Rattus norvegicus: one gene and its partners. The protein of the gene in region 4 purifies or fractionates together with the protein of the main gene of each other region. This does not show direct contact. Links are inferred from orthologs where the notes say so. Each region holds a gene or a part of one and is shown on either strand. Other genes may lie near its edges. The genes, in order: Ccdc86, Ftsj3, Son, Srpk3 and Ebna1bp2.

Region 1 (4,047 bases), on a different chromosome or scaffold from region 4:
AGGAACAGAAGATAAAGCTGGGCCAGGAAATGCTGAAAACTGTTGAAACTGGTGATAGGACTCATAAAACTCAGCTCTTTCCTTTTCTGTGATAAAAAGTAAAAATAAAATGAAGACAAGCCCTCACATCTCTCCCCCACTACCTGCTCAGTCTGCTGGGTGTCCCATGGGCCTGTTCTCCCCCCAACCCTCTCTTATCCCCAGAACTCTAAGGCTCCTCAGCAGATCCTTTCACAGTGGCCCTTCTGCCTCCCACACTCCAACCTTGACTCGTGTAGGAGTTCCTATTTACTTGCCTGTTAGAGGATATCTTGAGGAACCCTGTCTCTGAAGGCCTTGGTGCATGTCTGTGGCTGACCAGACAAAGGTCAATGCTGCATTTCTGAGTGTCTGCTCCCTTCCTAGAGTCTGGCACACAGTGTGGAACTTGGCACCAGGTTTACTCACAGGCAGTCTGGTTCTGTCCCCTCCCACTGCATCGCTAGCTTCTGACACCAGCATTCTCCTCTCTGCTAAGTCCCCAAGCTTTCTCAAGACCCAGCTTCCAAAAAGCAGAGCAGTGGGTACCTTGTGGACTTCCTTTCACTCTTAACAAACCGGAATTTGAGAATCCTGGAAGGACAGGATGATGGAAGCCTGGAGAAACCAGAGCCACTAGACATAATACTATATCTTGTTAGAGCATCAGTGACAACAATGTTCCGTCATGGAAATGATCCCCGCCCCTTCCTGAAAGGGAATCACTACGTATAGGCTGCTGTAGCGCTTGATTTGTAGTTTGTGTTAAGAAGACTCATAGATTATTTCATTTAATAGTGAATGTAAATGTAGCAAGTGGCTACAGCACTGAGGCAGAGTCGATGTTCAGCACTAGTTATTGGAGATGGAAAACAGGCCTGGATGTCTGGTCCTGAGACCATTATTTACTTCCTATGAGACCCTGGGCAAGGAAGCCTCTCAGCCACGGCACCCCCCTGTGTGTACATAACAGTATAGAAGGGTAACAGGTTGCCTGTGGCCATCAGTGGCCTGGCTACTGTGACTTGCTGGGAGCAGCTTCAAAGTTTTTCTGATTGGTGCCTTTCTCTTTAAGCTTAACTTTCTTAAGTTTAATGGAGTATGCTTGGGGGAGGGGTTATACCCAGAGCTTAGGCTTTAAGAGTAACAAAATGACATCTGTAAAGTGCCTGCACAAAGCCTGGCACAGTCCATCATCCGTCAATGTCATCCTCTTAAAATCTCTGATGCCCTGTTCTCTTACGAATTCTTGTCTTTGGCCAGTAGCTGATACTTCAACCCTACTTCTTCTCCAGAGCTGAAATTTCAACTGAACCCACTTCTCTTTCCCTGCTGCCTAAACAATGCCCTTCATATAAGCCTCCTCATTCCTTTACTGAAAAATATAAACTCAGCATTACCATGCCCCAGCACTGAAAGGACAAGGAAGACCCCATGTCTTAAGAAGGCTGCAACCCAAGTGAAGCTGGTCAACAGAAGCAGGTTAATGGGTTCCGCTCACTCGCTTTGCGGTCAAATCTATGCTCCCATCCCGTGTCTCAATTAGCCTCCGTGAGCCTTGTTTTCTTCAGATGTACAATATTAATACTAGTAACACCTGCTCCAAAGGGGAAAGATTAAATGTGATTACATGTGTGGCTGGCTATGAAAGACTCACTCTCTGGCCATCCCTAAGGAAGTGACACAGAACCAGTGATGATATTTTACAGTAAAAAGGATCTCACTATAATGGCTGCCTTTCTTGCTCTGCTTCCCTCACTAGATGTGGCAGACAAGGTGGCACATGCCTTCAAACCCAGCACTAGGAAGGCAGAAGCAAGCATATCTCTGTGAATTTCAGGACAGCCATTGTCACACAGTGAGACCCTGCCTCGCAATAAAAAAAGGGAAGGAAAGGAAGTTCAAAAGAACACCTCAAGACCACTGAGGATCTCCCTTAGGCATTTTGACATGATCCTGTTTGTTAATTTTACTCGGGTGAGCTCTTTCAAGTCTGGGATTTCATTCAGGCGAAGGCAAGGTCCAAATGCACGGAGAACCCAACACATCGCCCATGCTGTCCTCACTTTACCTCTTCTTGGAGCGGTCTTTCCACACACGCCCGGATTTGGGCTTCCCCTTCGGAATTACAGGAAGCTCCTCCTTCAGTTTCTTGGACGCTGGGGCCTGGGGAGAAGCTATAACTCGCTTCTTTAGGTCGAGACTTCCGGTCACTGACTCTCCAGCCGGAGGTAGCTTGCTTGGCTCCAGCTGGCGCTCTGGGGAGCTAGGTGCCTGGAATGCCAGCTCCTGTGCTGGCTGGGAGGGCTCGGGACCCGGTGCTTGCTGACCCGGGCAAGGCTCGGGAGATCTTGGGATCACCTCCTCCTTAGCGTGGGCTACCTCAGAGTCCTGTGTGGGAGATAATTTGGATGACTGCTCTCGTTGCGGGGATTCCGGATTCGACTCTGTCTGTCCTGCAGGTGAATCCAGGCCCAGATCTTGATGAAGTTGAAGGGACCCAGGGTGAGGCTCTGGTTGCCTTTGTGGGGACCCAAAGCCTGCATCCTGTTTAGGACAGGGTGATTCGGGGCTAGTCTCCGGCTGAGGTTGGGGAGACACAAGGTCCAGTGGCGGAACTCTCGGAGACTCGAGCTCTCTTGTTTCTTCTGGGTTCGACTTGAAATCTACAAGAGCCCGTTTGGCCCGAGAGACTTCGGGGTCAGGAAGGTTCTCCAGAGACAGAGGGTTTAGGCCTTCCAGCCGCCGGCTGCGCCTCAGCGGCGTACCCATGGCTCACGTGTAGTCTCCGTAGCCTTCAGAATCGTCGGCGCCTTCATATGACGTCAGACTCGTCTATTTCCGTACCGGGCAGGAAGTGCGCACTGGCGGTAGAGTGATGCGTGGAAAAGCAGGGGATGTTTGTCCCGGGGGCTGGGCTTAGTAGACGCATGCGTGTTGTGTCTGGTTGCTGGGTTTCCGCGATGCGGTTTTTTTTTTTTTTTTTTTTTTTTTTTTTGGTCGTTTTTGTTTTTGTAAACCGCGAGTTCTAGGTGCAAGAGAAGCGGGGTTGGAGTGGGGTATACCTTTTCTTTTTTCCCTGAGAGAAGAGGTTGGCAAAAAGGCGGAGGGAGTTTGTAGGCAGAGCTGAGCGTGTTAATTTACTCTGGAACAGCTGGGCCCGCATACGTCACGTTTTCTTTTGTTTTATCTTTTGTAATAGTAGCTTTGCGCAGTGTAACAAAGGAGGAGGCCCTGGGGGTCTGCATGAGTGGGAAATCTTCAATTTTTGAGTTTTCTTAAACGTTCTCACCCTTACCATCTCTTTTACTACTGTGCCCAGATATGCTTCAACAGTTTCAATCAGCGAAGTGTCAGGTCTGAGGCCCAGAAAACCCTGACTGCTTTGTTGTCAATGTTGGGGGGTCACAGCGTGTGCCCGAAGTCAGGTCTGGCTACCCCATCGTCAACAAACCACCGGAAAGAGCCAAATTAAAATTGGAAAGCTTTAGAAAAAGAATTATTCAAATGGCCATACTGGGAAGAGAGGCAAAGAGATTCTGTGAATCACCCAAATTCGACCTCAGGGTTCTAAAGTTAGATAGAAAGTTTAGATAGAGGGCCAAGGATAAATACATTTAAGTAGTCCTTATCAAGGTATGACTCTGTCCACCATTGCCCCACCATTATCTGGGTTTTAGTCTCATCCTGTAGGTGGTCTGACAAGCTCTTTCCAGGGGACAAATTTCCCCTCTGGCTGGTACCCGTTTTTGTCTCCCCTCTGGCTGGTACCCTTTTTTCTTCTCCCAGCATGAGAATTCTGAGAAAATTCCCATTTCTTTGGAGTCCACTGTTTGTTTGATTGTCTGATAGGCAAAAGTGTCTCTTTAGAATACCTTCATTTCTGCCAGGATGGTTACATGCTGACCCAGGAGGAGGCAAGGAAGATGTAGAGCCAGAGAAAAGTTTCTGCAGGGTAGAAAGTGGATGCCCAATTCTTGGACACACCCCCTAGGCACTGCACACATGGTCTCAGATGCATACTGATGG
Region 2 (4,190 bases), on a different chromosome or scaffold from region 4:
TTTGCAGAGGGCCTGGGTTTAGTTGTCACTCTAAGTGCCTGGGAAAGATAACTATCTGTAACTCAAGTTTCAGGGGATCCACTGCCCTCTTCTGCCCTGCGCAGGCACCTGCATACATATGATGCATATAAGCTTACGAAAGCACACATATACACATATGCATAATAAATTAACAACTGAAGAGCTACAAGAACGACACTGGAAAAGAACACTTTGCTGCACTCCCAGTGGAAAAAGGACGTTGAGAAATCTGCACCTACCAGCTAGCTCTCAAGCTCCCTCTGGTGTCTGGACTTACCTGGAGTTCTTCAATCTTGGACAGATAATATTGACGGAGTCCACTGCCTGCCTTCCCCTCTTCCAGTTCCATCTGAAGACAAGTGTAATTGTTAAACAGTTACGTAAACTACTAAGGGATAAAGCCAAAGTATTTTCAGGGCACTTTACCATATAGCTTAAGAAACAAGGCCAGGAAAGTATCATTCCCTTTTCCTCAGAAACTGGTTATCTCCATAGGTGAGGTCTGTGTGTTTGAACTGCAAAGGCTTAGTTATTGGTTCTAATCCTTCACTTTTGAATCCACTAAAAGGATGCAATTACCGCCTACCTTCGAAGACTTTTAGGAGGCTCAAGGGGCCATATACTTACAGAGCGCTTTGCTCTGTGGCAAGAGCTATACAAACCCAAGGTGTAACTACTACAGACAAAGGCAGAACAGAAGGACCAAGTCCAGGTCCCACCCAGGCCATTCCGGCTTGCCTAGCTCTTCATTCAGTTTTTACCCAGCCCTGTCCTGCTTACCGCGGGTGGCGCTGACACAGCAGATCCAGTTCCAGGCAGGGTCAAGTCTGACGTGGTCCACCCACCCCTGATCCACTCGACCCTTTTGCTAGTGGCCACCCCTCAGTTCAGATTTTGTGCACTCCACACTCGGCTTGGATGCCGCCCTGACGCCGCGGCAGAATCCTTACCTGCTCTGGCCCATCAAGCGCCATCTTCCCTCCTTCGGCAGGGACCGCCGGCATCCAAGTCACCCTATTGCGCAGGCGCGGAGCCGAAAGCGTGCGACCTGGGTCACGACCGAGAACAGTTCCGGGTCAATGGGCGGGGTGTGTGGTGAGACAATAACAGTGGCTTTATTACAGGCTCTACTGGCGGTTAGTAGGTTTGTAAAGAGATATATAACTTATGGCGGATGCTTCCTAGAGTCTAGGGAGTAGTTATTGTACTCTACTTCCTAGCCTCTACTTTTAACTTGCAAGACACGCTGACAAAATTTTTGGCCACACTCAAAATGGCGTAAATCAAGACGCTAGGAACACAGGGAGCGCGAGCGGAAGCGGAAGTACGATCACTACCCACATGTGCTACTTCCCTAAGTGTTGAAAACCTGCGGAGTTAAGGGCTATCTAACGTCTCGGTAAGTGATTGCTTCGCCACCCGAGGAACCGAAGCAAAAATCCAGCGCTCTGAAAGATATTCTCAACTTTTTCTTTCTCCCCAGAGTGAGTGATACTACCCCATCCCGCCATGGGCAAGAAAGGCAAAGTAGGCAAGAGCCGGCGGGACAAGTTCTATCACTTGGCCAAGGAGACCGGTGAGTGGGTTTGCGCTGCGTGAATAACATATCAGCCTTTACGCTTTTTCTAATATTGTGTTCCTTTTCCTTAGGGGGAGGGTGATGGGGTTGTGAGGCTGTGGAAGTCCTCTTAGAAAAGGCATCCGTAGACGTTATTGTTTTATACATCCACTCCCTACGGTCTAGGTTATCGTTCGCGTTCTGCCTTCAAACTGATCCAGCTCAATCGCCGCTTTCAGTTCCTTCAGAAAGCCCGGGCCTTGCTGGACCTGTGTGCTGCACCTGGAGGATGGTAATATTTGGTTGGCAGGGACTGCTTGTGATGATACGTCCCTTGCACTGGCTGGCTTTGAGTTGCTTTGGGGGAGGATGGAAATCCGATTATACAATTCAGATTAAATATTCCATAGCATGTGTCTCTCCTAAATTTTGGAAGTCAGTGTCATTCTTTTTTCCCCTCTCGTGGGACTGAACCTAAGGACTTACTCATGCTAGGCAGTCGCTCCACCACCGAGTTATATCTCCAATCTGCTTTCTTTTCATTGAGACAGGGACTCTCAGAAATTGCCCAGGCTGGCCTTGAACGTTTGGCCTTGATAGCTGGTAATGCAGCCCTGTGTTGCTACGCCCAGCAGCTTGCTTCTTGAATGTGTGCATAGACAATTTGGCCAAGACACTTAACAAGTGCCCCTTAAGAGGCTGGGAAATCACATTGCCAAGGGATGAAAGGTATTTAAACCTGTCTTTTCCACAGGCTGCAGGTGGCTGCCAAGTTTATGCCTGTATCCAGTCTTATTGTAGGTGAGTGACTCTTGGGTATTTGAGGGGGAGGGGTGGGAGAGGTATTAAATTTGTCCTACATCTCCCTCCACCCTGTAATACACCGACTTAACATCTTAAAGGAGTGGACCTGGTTCCAATCAAGCCTCTCCCCAATGTGGTGACTCTCCAGGAAGATATTACAACAGAACGCTGTAGGCAGGTAATAAGATCTCTCCTTCATTCCCTCTTATGTGCTGGCGCCCTTGCCTCCTGAAAGTGAGACATTTCCCAATTTACCATGGTTTCAAGTGCATGGCTAAAGAGACCGTGACAATCCTGGTCACCTTTCCATCTTTACCTGTTTTTTATTTCCCCTTTTTCCCTTGAGATAGAGCCTTGCTGGGTACTTGGGATAGTTTCTAACTATGTAGTTAGTCCACACTTATGTGGAGCTGGGTCCATGGCCTAGTTTTGCCTTGATCTTCCAGTCTGTCTGCCTCTTGAATACTGGGTTCCACGTGCCACCAAGCCTGGCATGGATAGTGCTGTGAACGGGTGGAAGACTCTTTGTTCAGTAAAGTTCTTTCCAGTGAACCAATTCTAAGCTTGGCAAAGATAGGTTGTGTTGTTGTTGTTGTTGTATGCCTAGTACCTGGCACTGTGATGCCAATGGTGGGCACTCACTCTGACTAGACGGATGACTGAATCAGAATTCTGTTCTTAGCAATCATTGTGTTTCCATTGCTACAAAGCCTTTACTTTCATTAGGCCCTGAGGAAGGAGCTGAAGACCTGGAAAGTTGATGTTGTGCTCAATGATGGGGCTCCCAATGTGGGGGCTAGTTGGGTCCATGATGCTTACTCACAAGGTACAGGGAACGTGGGCTTGGAGGGGAGGGTGGAGGTGGCGTGCCCTAAGGCTTCAGGGGTTCACTGGCTGTTTCTGTCCTACAGCTCACTTAACTCTGATGGCTCTGCGTTTGGCCTGTGACTTTTTGGCCCGTGGTGGTTGTTTCATCACGAAAGTCTTCCGCTCCCGAGACTATCAGCCTCTGCTGTGGATCTTCCAGCAGCTGTTCCACCGTGTCCAGGCCACCAAGCCCCAGGCCTCTCGTCACGAATCTGCAGAAATCTTTGTAGTCTGCCAAGGTAAGACACAACCCCTTCCTCTTGACACAGCCTTCTAATTATGAAAGCATACCTTTAATCTAGCAGAACTTTTACTCTCTCTTCTCATTTTAGGATTCCTGGCTCCGGACAAGGTTGATGCTAAATTCTTCGATCCCAAGTTTGCCTTTAAGGAAGTTGAAGTTCAGGCTAAAACTGTCACTGAGTTGGTGACAAAGAAGAAGCCAAAGGTGTTTTTATTGTTATTATTTTGAGAAACTGGGAGAACTTGATATCTTAGAATCGACTGTCTAGTAATCATCTTTTATTTCCCTTCCTAAGGCTGAAGGCTATGCTGAAGGTGACCTCACTCTGTATCACCGAACCTCAGTCACTGACTTCTTGCGAGCTGCCAATCCTGTTGACTTCCTCTCCAAGGCCAGCGAAGTGAGTTCCTAGATTGAGAGTCTATAGGAGGCCCAGAAACAAGGCCAGAACAACGTCCCATTCTTTCCCTCACAAACAGATCTCAATAGACGACAAAGAGTTGGCACAGCACCCAGCTACCACTGAAGATATCAGAGCATGCTGTCAGGACATCAAAGTGCTGGGGCGCAAGGAACTTAGGTACACAGGAATAAGGGCAACACTATGTTGGACTCTGGGGACCAGGCTTGTGTTAAGTTTATGGCTGAAGCCTGAACTCTGGCGTGTGGACTTTAAGAAGAGACAAAGATGGAGAA
Region 3 (3,510 bases), on a different chromosome or scaffold from region 4:
AGCACAGTACTTAATCAGGCGGCATTTTAATGGGGTTGTTTTGACATTTGGCATTGTTACTGTGTCATTTTGACAAGATACAACTATTGCCTTGAGAAATTTCAATATATAAAATTCCACTCCTCCAACTTTTAATAGTAGCAAAGAGGGGAAGGAGAAGGGAATGGAGAACCAAGGCTGAACACTAGGTTAAACACAAGAATTCAAAAGGGCTAAGGTAGCACAAGGAAGGGAAATGACTGAAACCAAAGGCTATCTGAAAACCCAGAGAAATAGTAAGATACCATCACGTCAGGGAATGGGCTATGAACCCAAGATGTTCACATCAGCCTAAAATAACTTTCTCAACGCAGTTCTTGTGTTGAACCTCAGGATCTGCCTTCTCTCCCCTCAATCCCTCCACCCAATAAACTTGCTACCACCAAAATCTAGAGCTATAGAGCCTTGAAGCAAATCGGGAAGCTAAATAGTTGTACCTTGGGCTACCTTCCCACAAGTGCATGGAGGGCCCAATGTTGGGTAGGGATGTGATAACACTTTTCTCTGCAATTCGATGCTTTTCACTTTGTGGCTTCGTTCCACAAAGTGAATTGCATCGAGTTACTGTCAAATGAGAAGCTGCGGGCTGTTTCATCTGTCGTTTAACCCGGCCCTGCCGTTTAACCCGGCCCTAAGAAGAGTGAAACAGAATCCAAATCAGATATAAAATAACAATAAAATGGAAGATTCAGATATTAAAGCAAACATGTGGTGTTCCTCCTACTTACCTCTGAGGGCAAGCTGCTGCTGAACACATTATCGTCATCTTTGCTTTCTTCGCCATTTTTCTCTACTGGAACCCACTCTCCATAAACACTATCCGCTTCCTTTTTCCGATGTTGAGATCCAGATGACACAGGAAACTCCTTTGTTAATGTTACTTGGCTTTTTGGTGGAGTTGGCTTTGCTGCAGCAATCTGAAATACAGTATTTAGTTAGAATCCATTGTAACAGACACCTTCTACAGTTTCTAAAGAATCTCAATGCAGTCTAAAGGAAAGGTTCCTTTTATTTTGTCAGTGCCAGGAGTTGAACCTACAGCCTCACACATCCTGGGCACACTCACTACCACAGAACTCTCCCAGCCCTACACTCAGGAAATGCTGTCACTATTCATCACAATAGCTAAACTCCACATGGGTGTTACAACAGCCCGATGAGCCGTGATGCTTCATCAGTCCTTATCTCTTTACTAATACTCACATTCAAATTGAAAAAAATGGGCTTGGGTTCACTGAGTTTAAAGGGATGATGATAAAAAGGAGGCTCTTCTTCCTCTTCATCCGAAACATGAGGTTTATTCACTATTACATCATCATCTTCTTTACTCTGTGCAATCTGTTTGCATTTCTTTAAAGTAAAAACAAACAAAAGATGAATATGGCTTACAAAAACAGCATGTAACTTTTTCAAAAGAATATTGTATGATCAATTCAAAGAACACTTATGATAGCTTATAAAACCATAATTTTGATCATCAGCTACTATTTAAACACACACTGGCTGCTCAGTCAGTCAACAACATTTATTGAGCACCTACTATGTGCAGAGCACTGTACTGGGCACTGTCTTGGGAAAAAAATACAAAAAAAAAAAAAAAAATGAGAGAGAGAGAGAGAAAGAAAGAAGATAAAAAAAGGGAAAGACATGGTCCCTGCTCCAAAGGAGCTTACAATCTAATACGAGACAAAAGTACATCCACATGAAGTAATTGAAGAACCTTTTTACAGAGCAACACAGTAACAAGTGCAAACTGATGTAATACACACGGTACATAGTGCTAGAGAACAAAGGCGTAAAGAGGATATTCAGGCAGGGTTTAAGGATCAAAGAATATTCCTTCAAGAGTTCTAAGCAAAATTCCCACAGTAAAGAACAAGAAATAGGAAGGAAAGGGAAGTCATCTTGGTCAGGTGGTGGTGAGCAAGTTGGGAGAGACTTGTCAGAGGGATAGAACGCTGAAGATGAGGCAAACAATAGCAAACGCTAAGCGTTCATAAAGTTTTAGATAAAGAGCTTGCATTTGGTAAGTAAGCAATAGAGGCTTTTTGCTAGGTCTTTTTTAAGTTATAATTCATACTATAATGAATCTAAGTGAAGAAACAAATTTAACTTTATAATCCCCAAATGTATGGTAAAAGATTTTAAACATCTGTGGCAGGGTAAATAGTAACATCTCTCTCCATAAATGTTTTTTAAAATTTATTTAAGGACTGTAACTTAAGAATGGAAAATAAGGCATGATGGAGAGGGCGCAATTGATGCAGTCCAGCATACAAAGTCAAGTCCTTCCTCAGGAGCAAAGGAGCAGATTCCACTTATAAAAAGGTTAAGAGTAAATTTTAGTAGACCTGTCTATACAAGCAGAATTTATCACATCTATTATCAATTGAAAATATTACAATAGAATTAAAAAGCTCAATTAGCCAAAAACACAAGAGTGTATGTATCAAGCATGTAACCAATGGGAACAGAATATGTTGACAGTGGCAGGCTGGCATAAGGCTAGCCAATAGCAAGTTTCAGTATATGAAACAGTGTGTTATTTCTGGATCCTAGCAGCAATATTTCAGCGTCTTCCCCCACACACACAAAAAAATATTAAAGTAAAACAAAGCTTCCCCCAAAAGCCTCAATTTCAAAAGATCAAATTTTTAAAAACAAAAATAAGTATATTTAAAATATGTTACTGCCAAAACCCGAACCGCAGGAAGAACTGATAATGGCCGGCCATTATCGCCAATGGCTGGTACCAAACAGCCAAAACCCGAAATGTTGATGCGAAAGAAGTTCCTTTCAGGCAATGGCCAGCTATTCTCATTAATTTCCAAGCTCCGGTGGCAAAAGATCATTTCTGAAGATTGTCTGTGTCTTTGCGTATATGCAGTACACTCTTGGCGATCAGTGAACACGTCGTGAATGGAAACGAAACTGTAGGCGAGCTTCTGCGTGTTGCTCACTCAACACCTCCTCCATTCAAACGAACCGTTCCACTCCTCAGTCAGTTTGGCTTCTAAAACTGGAAAGCAAAAGTAATGGGAAGTAACTTTTTAGCTAGCGGAGCTTAGCCATCCCGGATAATGGCCTGCTAAACAGAGCTTCTGCCGCTGCCACATCTGTATTTCGGGTTTTGGGCACTCGGTGCCAGCCATTATCAGTTCAGCCCACAATTCAGGTTTTGGCACGCTCCAGAGTCAACATCCATGGAAAAATCCATTTAAGAATGGAAACAAATTCTGTCTAGCTTACCTCAGTTAGTTCTTCTATGGTAGCTCCTCCAGACTTTTTAGCAACTTTCTCTTCTATTGTAGGTGGAGGTGCAGGCTTTAGGTTTGGTGGCAAAGGAACACCAGCCTTAGCACACATGGCAGCTGCATTAGCTTTGGCTATTTCAAGTAATTGAGCCTTATCTGTAAGAGGAAAAATACAGGAAGCAGTTTTCCTAAAAGCTATATGCGTTTTTAGTTCTGT
Region 4 (4,246 bases):
GGTGGAGCCACTGCCCTGCTCTAGTCTTGAGCTGGAGTCTGAGGAGAAGGGGCAGAGGGGAACATGAGTAGAAGCCTGCAGCCCACATGCATGCTTAGTGGCCCAGTGCCCTCTCTGGCCCCTCACCCTCAGTTTGTACTGCAGCCTCCATAGCCTCCAGCCTCTGCAAGTCCCTCAGCCGCTCCTCCAGCAGCCTTTTCTGTTGCTTCCTTTTGCGCCTCATCTTCTTCCTCTTGTTTTTGGACAGCTTACCAGTCTGCTGCCAGAGTCAGGGTTACCTGCCAGGTTTCCCTGCCCAGCCCTGAACCCCAGAACTAACTCCCCTGGGTATCAGAACATGGGTACTATCTTGTCTCACCCTTAATCCCAGCCCCTCATCCATTTCTCTGCTTCTTCTCCTATCCTACTTCTTAAAGCTTTGTGGTTTGGGGAGAACCTAGTGGGCCTACCCTAAACTGCTCCTTGTCTACTCCCAGCCCTGGATGAAGCTGCCTGAAGTAGCCATTTGGGGAAGGCACAATATCCTTCCATTGAGGTGGTAGTGGGCCCATTGGCCACCAGAGGCAGTTTGGAGCACATGATACACTGTCTAATCACTCTCTTCTCAGGTACCCAGCTTTTTAGAAGTTCAAAAGATGGAACAACTGTGGCAGAAGAACCAAGCTCTGAGGACATGGCCTCATCTAGCTTGGATTGGAAGCGGAGACAGGGAAAGAAGGGGTGCCACAACTTACCAAGACCTCCTGGGGGGCAGTGCTGACTGGGTGTGAGGGGTGGGGAGAGAAAAAAGAATAGTAATTCAGGTAGGGATTGAGGTCCAGAGTCCTGGTGTCAGTCCCCACACATGCTCTTGGTACCTGTGGAGCGGGATGGGGGCTGGGCCCCTGACTGCTGCCACTCTGTGGCTTCAGCAGCCAGGCGCCTGATGTAGGCATCTCCAACACACAGTAGAATGTTCTCAGGCTTGATGTCCGTATGGATGATCTTGCACTTAGTATGGAGGTAATCCAGACCATGCAGCACCTGGCAAAAGCTACAGCTGAACCCTAACAACCATACCCAGCCAACCTGAGCAGCATGGGGGCAGCACCTACCTGCCTAACGATGCTCTTAACACAGGGCACAGGCAGGCCCTGGTAATTGGACTTGATGATCCACTTCAGGAGCTGGTGGCCCAGGACCTCTAGCACCATGCATACATCTGGACCTGGAGTGAAGGGCAGTCAGCAACACGTAGCTAAGGCACAGGCTTACCTACCCTCCATCATGGAGGAGGACCTAGACTCTAGAAATGCAAAGATCAGGGAAGTAGGGCTTTCTCTGGACCATCTTAGTGGCCACTACTGTCCCAGTTTATTATTTAGAATGTTTCTGTCACTGACAAAGATGTGCCAGTTAGGATGGTACCTCTTGTCATCCTACAGATGTCTCACTCCAGCCTTACTCTTCTGCCCAAGTAGTCCTCAAAAGTAGCCTCGTAATTTGGGAGTACTCTGCAGATAATCACAGATTATCTGCTAGTCACAGATAATCACTGTCAACCTAATTACCTGTGTTTCCCCTACTCAGAAACACAAGCGCCCAAAGGGATGGAGTTGTTTAATAGGTTCTCCCTGCAAGGGCTAAATCCCATGGTGCATTGTGGCTCCTTGACTGCCATATTGCTCATTTTGCAAAGGATACGGACTCCATTAACTCCTGAGATCCTGAAGTCATCGATAAGTTGAACAATGGTCTCTCTTTTGGGGTCACTAGGGTCACTGTCCCGAACCTGGAACAAAAGGCAAGGAGCCACAGATGACTCCCAACCTGCTCCCCAACAGCTGCTCTGCTCATATGCCCTGAAGCACTTTTGGCCCCCTTTCCCAGTCCAGCTGGGGCCCACTTAAAGAGAGCCAGCTGCCTCTTTCAGGCCTCTGCTCTCCGGGTCCTTTTGCTTGGCAGAGCCAGCTGGAGCCTGCCCCCTCTGGGAGCCCCGCCCCACTCTTCAGGGCCCCAGCAGGCCCTGCACCCACATTGCCAGGCCCAAGGCAGTTCAAGGGGCCGGGAGCAGTAGGGGAGGCGCCTCACACATTTCAGGAGCTTGATCTCATCCACGGCTGTCTCTGTGTAATGTCCTGCGCTCTTCACTACTTTCAGAGCCACAAAGCGCTTGCGCCTGTAATATGGAGACCCTCATAGGCTGCCAGACCTTGTCACAGTCACATGGTCAGAGTGGTAGCCTCAACCAAACCCACGGGCAGATCGCAGTCACTCACTGAATATCCCAGCAGAGCCAGACAGTAGAGAAATGGCCCCAGCCTAGCTTTCGTACCACATGGTACCGCCCATTGAACAAATCACCGATCTTCACTGGGTAGTAACCACCTGTAGAAGGGAGCCAATAGATCAGAGTAGGACATTTCTCTCCCTTATACCTCAATATCAATGTCCTGCTGGTCATCCGTCTCATGTAGGCCTACTTTTGGCAACTTTTTACACCCAAGCTGTCCTGAGCCCGTGCAGTGGCAATCTCGCTGGCCACATGCAGCCAGGACTTACCCTTGCAATAATCCTTAGGGTCTTCCTGCTCCTCATCATCAGAGCCCAGGAGTCCCTGCAGCAAACGAGGTGCTGGTGTGGCTGGAGCTAATTCAGAGCTTGAGGACTCAGGCCCACAGGAAGTCTGAGAGCTGTGGGTGAAGAGGGAGGATGCAGACAGTGAGCTCACAAGGTGCAGGTGACCCCACTCTCCCCAGCTTGGTCATACCTGCTGCTGCTGCCACCACAGTCCATACCACCACTACCACCGGCACTGGCACTCATCCTCGTGTCGCAGCCCAAAGCTCTGGTGCACTGGACCACTGTTCCTGTGGGGCCCAGCCGTGGCCAGTGCATTTATAGCTTCTGCCGCTGATCTCACCCGCCTTTATAAATAGCCTCCCAGCTGCTCAGCTGTGGGCAAGGTATGCAGCACAGGGAGGGGGGAGTGCACTGATGGTAGCCCTGCCCCCCCTTTCACCCACACTCTAGAGACAGAGGGAGCCACCAAGCTGCAGTTATGATAGCAACTCAGTTCCTAGGCTGATTCCCTACAGTGTAGGACTAGCCAAGGAAGACATCTACATGGAGATGGAGCTCCTATGCTCTAACGCTCTAACAGGGAGAGGAGGCTCCTATGAAAGAATGGAGTTGTTATGGTGACCAGGTCTTTAGGCTGAGCTCTCTCCAAATGCTGCAGGGTACTTGATACATTCTTTAACTGCCCACTTAACCTGTGTGAGTATACTTTTGGAGGTGACCCCCGCCAATCCCATCTGAACCCTATGCTCTGCTCATCCTCAACCCTGATCCCAGCTCTATTTTAACTCATAGATACTCCCCCATACAGGTGGGAGCCCAGATCTTTCCTCTATGTGGCTGGGTCAAGGGCAAGAGCTAAAGGCAACTCATTCCTCCCATCAGAAGCAACAGGCCCTCAGACTTGCATAGCATCCCTTAGGGCTAGAGCTGGTCATTTCTGCCTTGCTGTCTCCATCAGCATTTGCAGGTTCCCATTTGGGCCAACTCTTCCATGTCCACCAGGAGAAGAAAAAAAACCTCACAGTTGTTGTCCATGAGCTAGTTGGTAACTGAGGAATCTTGTGCATCTTGAGGAACGAGAAAGCATTATGTCCCCAGAAGCATTCAGGGCACAGTGCGCCAGCATGCTACAGAGTGCTGGGAAAATAACTGATACATTCTTGAACTTCTGGGCTTTCTAAAGTTGGTAGAGTGATGGTATTTCATAAACCAGTTTTGGTGGTGGAATGTGCCTGTAATCTCAGTACTCAAGAAGTACCCAGAAGTTCCAGGTTATGCTCAGCTACATAGCAAGTTCAAGGCCAGCCTGGAATGCATGAAACCCCATCTTTAAAAATAAAAATGTCCTGGAGAGATGGTGCAGTAATTAAGAGCACTGACTGCTCTTCCAGAGGTCCTGAGTTCAAATCCCAGCGACCACATGGTGACTCACAACCATCTGTAATGGGATCCAATGCCCTCTTCTGGTGTGTCTGAAAACAGCTACAGTGTACCCATATAAATAAATCTAAAAAAAATAAAAAATAAAAAGAATACTGGCTGCTATTGTCCAAGTTAAATTCCCAACACCCATGTGACAACTTACATGTCTTCTACAACTCCAGTTACCAGAAGACTGACACCCTCTTCTGGTCTTCCTGGCCATCACACACAAGGAATATATAGACATACATGCAGGCAAAAC
Region 5 (3,997 bases), on a different chromosome or scaffold from region 4:
AAATTTCCAGTGTCTCCATCATACGAGGGTTTGATGAAGGTCATGAACTCTCGAAACTATTAGACTCAAAAGAGGTTTCTGGTGAGGACAAACCCGACTGCAGGAGAATGCAAGAAAAACCACTGTTTAAAATAACTCTTCTTTGTCACTGTGAAAAAGTACTTTTTTTTTTCTTCTTTTTTTCGGAGCTGAGGACCGAACCCAGGGCCTTAGGCTTGCTAGGCAAGTGCTCTACCACTGACCTAAATCCCCAACCCGAAAAAGTACTTTTAAAATGAGTGTTATTTTATGTGTCATTCTGGCTACTTGAGTTGGGTTAATCTAAGATTAAACAGTGTAAATCGACATTTATTTTGTCTGCATTTATAAAACTATGTGGATAACCCAGTTATTAAAAAAAAAAAAAAAGATCTTCCCAATCGTTGAGATTGTGCGGTTCTGTGCAGCACATGCCTTTAAATGTATGTGTCAGGATGGGAAGGGTGGGTTTTTTTTCTTTTCTTTTCTTTTCTTTTTTTTTACCTGCAATGAATTTTTGCCATTTCTGATCTAGATTGTACTTCACACAGTGATTTCCTGAAGGAAATATAACGATCTGTTCATCGAAGAAGAAGATGTTGTTGGTCACGTGAGACCGAAGACCAAAAACATGAAGCGACTGAGCTACCACGGTGGACATGGTACCTGTCAAAGAGTATTGTAAAAGATTAAAAAAAGAGGGGCTGGAGAGATGGCCCAGCCGTTAAAGGCTAGGCTCACAACCAAATATATAAAAAAAGAGGCAGGCGGGTGGGAGTAAAGACATAAGAGTGTATCTCCCTGCCCCACCCATGGCCCCGCCCCACCCTGGGCCCGCCCCACCCTGACCCCGCCTCGCCCCTCCATCGCCCCGCCCCCAGGCTCCTCTTCCTCTTCAGCCCACTCCCGGGGCTCTTTCCAAGCTTTGCCTTCCTCCCATGCACTCCCAACGCCTCCAGGCCTTTAGGTGGACCCCAGAGAAACTATTCACCTCTTGCTTCACGACTCTGGATTACTATACAACGTAGCGACCCGCAGGTGTTCTTCCTAAAGAGCCGGAGCAATCCGGGCACGCCCAAACGCCAGAGCAGTTCCTATAGCAACGAGAAAACCGGAAGTTTGGCTCTGCACCCGGAAGCGGAAGTACTTGTTGAAAAGCCAGAGGCTAGTGGAGAAGTTGCTGGCGCTGGTGCGTCTTGCTGGCACGTGGAGTGGCAGCCGAACCTCGCGGGGCGGGAAGCCGCGAGATGGACACCCCTCCGCTCTCAGACTCGGACTCCGGGTCGGATGAGTGCCTGGCCTCAGATCAAGAGGTAGACGCTAGCGGGGTAGGGGGTGGAACGGGAACTTTATTTAGCTCTTCGGTACTGAGGCGTCCCGGTCTATAGTTGCAGGATGCGTTTTCCCGCGGACTCCTAAAGCCAGGCCTCAATGTCGTGCTAGAGAAGCCGAAGAAGGCGGTGAATGACGAGGTGAGCTCGTGCGAGGGTCGGGGTCCTTGGAACGGGATGTGCACAGGCGCTGTGCTTCTTGGGAGACCGATTCTTGTGGGACAGATGTACCCCTGCGCAGCGGGCGTCATCCTTGCGGGTATTTGAGCATAGGACTTTGGGTTTGAGGGAGACAGAGTCGCGGTTCTCATGAGTGCCGTGTCTGACTTTATCTAGAATGGCCTGAAGCAGTGCTTGGCTGAATTCAAACGGGATCTGGAGTGGGTTGAAAGGCTCGATGTGACCCTGGGTCCTGTGCCTGAAGCCAGTGAAACTCAGTCAACACCCCAGAACAAGGACCAGAAGAAAGGTGTTAATCCAGAAGACGACTTCCAGAGGGAAATGAGTTTGTACGTTTGTTGTGGGTCCTTCTACAGAGTTACAGAAGGAGGATCTTAGTGTGTCTGCAACCTCAGGGGCACTGGGGAGTTAGCATGAGCCAAGAGAGTGGAGCTAGGGGGGTTCCTCTGGTTGAAAGAATAGATTCTTGGTCACCATTTAACCAGCACCCTGCTTGAGGGATGTTTCAAAAATAATTCATTTGAAGTCTGGGTGCCTCCAATCGTCAGAATAGACCTTTGCCTAGGGAGTGCTTGAGTGGTCTTTCTGTAACGATTGGGAAACAGTTCATAGTTTGCTCAATATTTTTTAATAAGCTCGTTTTAAACCTTCTTATTCTTGGAAGTATTTTCCCTTTCTAAATAAACATAAAGTGAAATTTCAGTTATATACGAAATTAGTGGAGTTTTAGTTGACTCGTTTGTTTTATCTTGCCAGTGAAGGTGGGATGCGACAGCTCTGAGGTTAGTTAACTTCTGAGAGGCAGTAAGAAGAAGCGAATGCCTCTTCCCTCCCCTCCCCTCATTTCACTCTGTCCTGTAATTTCAGCTACCGCCAGGCCCAGGCTGCTGTGCTTGCAGTATTACCCCGACTCCACCAGCTCCAAGTCCCTACGAAGAGGCCCACTGATTATTTTGCAGAAATGGCCAAGTCTGATCAACAGATGCAAAAGGTAAGTTTTTCCTCTGGAAAGCGGAGGTTTCTCCTGAAGTCTATTCGTTCCAGCTGGCTCATTTCCTGTAGTCTTTCAAAAAGGAAACAAAGATTTATACTATTTGTAACTAGTATTTCTATAGTCTCTGCTTCAGAGGCATGGCAGTCACTTAGATAAATTAGGGAGAGACGGTCTGGAAGAAGTGTGGTCCTTGCAATAAGAAGGCTTGTGTATTTCCTCTCTGGCAGGGTGAGTGGAATGGTACAGACACAGTAGTCTTATAGTTCTGGGTCCAGCAATGCCAAGAATACTATTGCTTCTAGACCGATTTTTCTTCTCTGGGCCTTTAGCTTTCTAGAACTGAAGGCTTGATATCTAGCTAAGATATGGTATGATTTAGAGTTAGGGGGATTTGATCTTCATTCAACTTTGGGAGAAAAAAACTCAATGTCCCACCCAGGATGTATTTAAATTGTACCATTGGTCTCAGTCTTCATCTTAGAGAATTACAGGTCGTACCCCAAGAAGCTGCCCGTGTGAGACGAGCACAGATCGTCTCTCTCTCACAGTCACACTGATAACAAACACTGTCAGTACAGTGTGTGTGTGATTGAAGAGGCAAGGTGTGAGTGTGCAGGAACTTTATTACATAGGTGGGCCATTAGAGGAGAAGGCTCAAGTTTAGCCTTAGTCTTTGGGGAAACAGGTCCTGTGTGACAAGCAGGCAGCTTTGTGACGGAACATGCCTGTCTGGAGAGGCAGGGCCGCTTCTCAGCAGTGGCTGCCCACTGACACTCAGCTTTAGGACTGTATTGTCCTTAATGTGGAAGCTTTCAGAGCTAGTAAAACTTGGAGCCCCCTTCTAGTGTGCTCCAGATAGTGCCTAACAACATCCCGTGCTTTAGATTCGACAGAAGCTGCAGACTAAACAGGCTGCCATGGAGAAATCTGAAAAGGCCAAGCAACTTCGAGCGCTTAGGAAATACGGAAAGAAGGTGAGAAAGGGCACCTGTGTGGAATGGCACCGCCGGGCACGCCAGGGCTGATCGTGGTGGGGTTTGGTTCTGGCCCTGTGCATGTTTGATCCTGATAAAGTGTCTGCTGGTGTCCCCAAACACAGGTTCACTTGGCACTGTGGCACACCTGGGTGTATCCAACATAGTGTGGTAGCGGCGGCTGAGCTGGCAGTGTCTGGAGTCACGGTTTGGGATGCAGGACTAACCATGTATCTGTCTCACAGGTGCAAACTGAGGTCCTTCAGAAGAGGCAGCAGGAGAAAGCGCATATGATGAATGCCATCAAGAAGTACCAGAAAGGTCAGCGTGTCTGTCTGCTAAGAATGTAGGGAAACCTGCGTATCAGTGCCTTAGAAGCGAAGGGATTCTCTAGTTCTTTGGAGTTATCTTGGCTTTCATCTGCTAGGCTTATGTTTGGGAAATGTTGTGGGGAACAAGATGTGCTCCTTCAGATGCAGTTAGGGAATAGCAGGCATGTC

Evidence for each region.
Region 1: the proteins of Srpk3 (region 4) and Ccdc86 purify together in Homo sapiens (affinity purification with mass spectrometry; 3 studies listed by BioGRID and IntAct, with this or other methods). This does not show direct contact. The link is inferred for Rattus norvegicus from reciprocal best matches to the Homo sapiens genes SRPK3 and CCDC86.
Region 2: the proteins of Srpk3 (region 4) and Ftsj3 purify together in Homo sapiens (affinity purification with mass spectrometry; 3 studies listed by BioGRID and IntAct, with this or other methods). This does not show direct contact. The link is inferred for Rattus norvegicus from reciprocal best matches to the Homo sapiens genes SRPK3 and FTSJ3.
Region 3: the proteins of Srpk3 (region 4) and Son purify together in Homo sapiens (affinity purification with mass spectrometry; 3 studies listed by BioGRID and IntAct, with this or other methods). This does not show direct contact. The link is inferred for Rattus norvegicus from reciprocal best matches to the Homo sapiens genes SRPK3 and SON.
Region 5: the proteins of Srpk3 (region 4) and Ebna1bp2 purify together in Homo sapiens (affinity purification with mass spectrometry; 3 studies listed by BioGRID and IntAct, with this or other methods). This does not show direct contact. The link is inferred for Rattus norvegicus from reciprocal best matches to the Homo sapiens genes SRPK3 and EBNA1BP2.

Annotation. Positions count from the first base shown.
Region 1 is NC_086019.1:217,018,630-217,022,676, forward strand, and holds the start of Ccdc86 (coiled-coil domain-containing protein 86), read right to left. Parts: upstream 2,811-4,047; 5' UTR 2,791-2,810; coding exon 2,090-2,790; intron 1-2,089.
Region 2 is NC_086028.1:91,684,373-91,688,562, reverse strand, and holds the start of Ftsj3 (pre-rRNA 2'-O-ribose RNA methyltransferase FTSJ3), read left to right. Parts: upstream 1-1,383; 5' UTR 1,384-1,420; intron 1,421-1,504; 5' UTR 1,505-1,530; coding exon 1,531-1,597; intron 1,598-1,765; coding exon 1,766-1,871; intron 1,872-2,333; coding exon 2,334-2,380; intron 2,381-2,481; coding exon 2,482-2,561; intron 2,562-3,109; coding exon 3,110-3,209; intron 3,210-3,294; coding exon 3,295-3,489; intron 3,490-3,582; coding exon 3,583-3,698; intron 3,699-3,789; coding exon 3,790-3,894; intron 3,895-3,973; coding exon 3,974-4,074; intron 4,075-4,190. Other genes in the region: Psmc5 (26S proteasome regulatory subunit 8), read right to left, coding at 299-370, 972-995.
Region 3 is NC_086029.1:44,391,476-44,394,985, reverse strand, and holds part of Son (protein SON), read right to left. Parts: intron 3,450-3,510; coding exon 3,289-3,449; intron 3,059-3,288; coding exon of another isoform or gene 3,053-3,058; exon of another isoform or gene 1,544-3,052; intron 1,390-1,543; coding exon 1,243-1,389; intron 957-1,242; coding exon 768-956; intron 671-767; coding exon of another isoform or gene 416-670; exon of another isoform or gene 1-415. UniProt on the Homo sapiens protein: RNA-binding protein that acts as a mRNA splicing cofactor by promoting efficient splicing of transcripts that possess weak splice sites.
Region 4 is NC_086039.1:156,660,561-156,664,806, reverse strand, and holds the start of Srpk3 (SRSF protein kinase 3), read right to left. Parts: upstream 2,806-4,246; coding exon 2,750-2,805; intron 2,673-2,749; coding exon 2,542-2,672; intron 2,368-2,541; coding exon 2,259-2,367; intron 2,159-2,258; coding exon 2,071-2,158; intron 1,772-2,070; coding exon 1,684-1,771; intron 1,208-1,683; coding exon of another isoform or gene 1,202-1,207; coding exon 1,095-1,201; intron 1,024-1,094; coding exon 858-1,023; intron 761-857; coding exon 735-760; intron 260-734; coding exon of another isoform or gene 248-259; coding exon 127-247; intron 39-126; coding exon 1-38. UniProt on the Homo sapiens protein: Serine/arginine-rich protein-specific kinase which specifically phosphorylates its substrates at serine residues located in regions rich in arginine/serine dipeptides, known as RS domains.
Region 5 is NC_086023.1:137,432,343-137,436,339, forward strand, and holds the start of Ebna1bp2 (probable rRNA-processing protein EBP2), read left to right. Parts: upstream 1-1,191; 5' UTR 1,192-1,265; coding exon 1,266-1,331; intron 1,332-1,406; coding exon 1,407-1,490; intron 1,491-1,685; coding exon 1,686-1,858; intron 1,859-2,396; coding exon 2,397-2,520; intron 2,521-3,407; coding exon 3,408-3,497; intron 3,498-3,742; coding exon 3,743-3,818; intron 3,819-3,997. Other genes in the region: Cfap57 (cilia- and flagella-associated protein 57), read right to left, coding at 523-679. UniProt on the Homo sapiens protein: Required for the processing of the 27S pre-rRNA.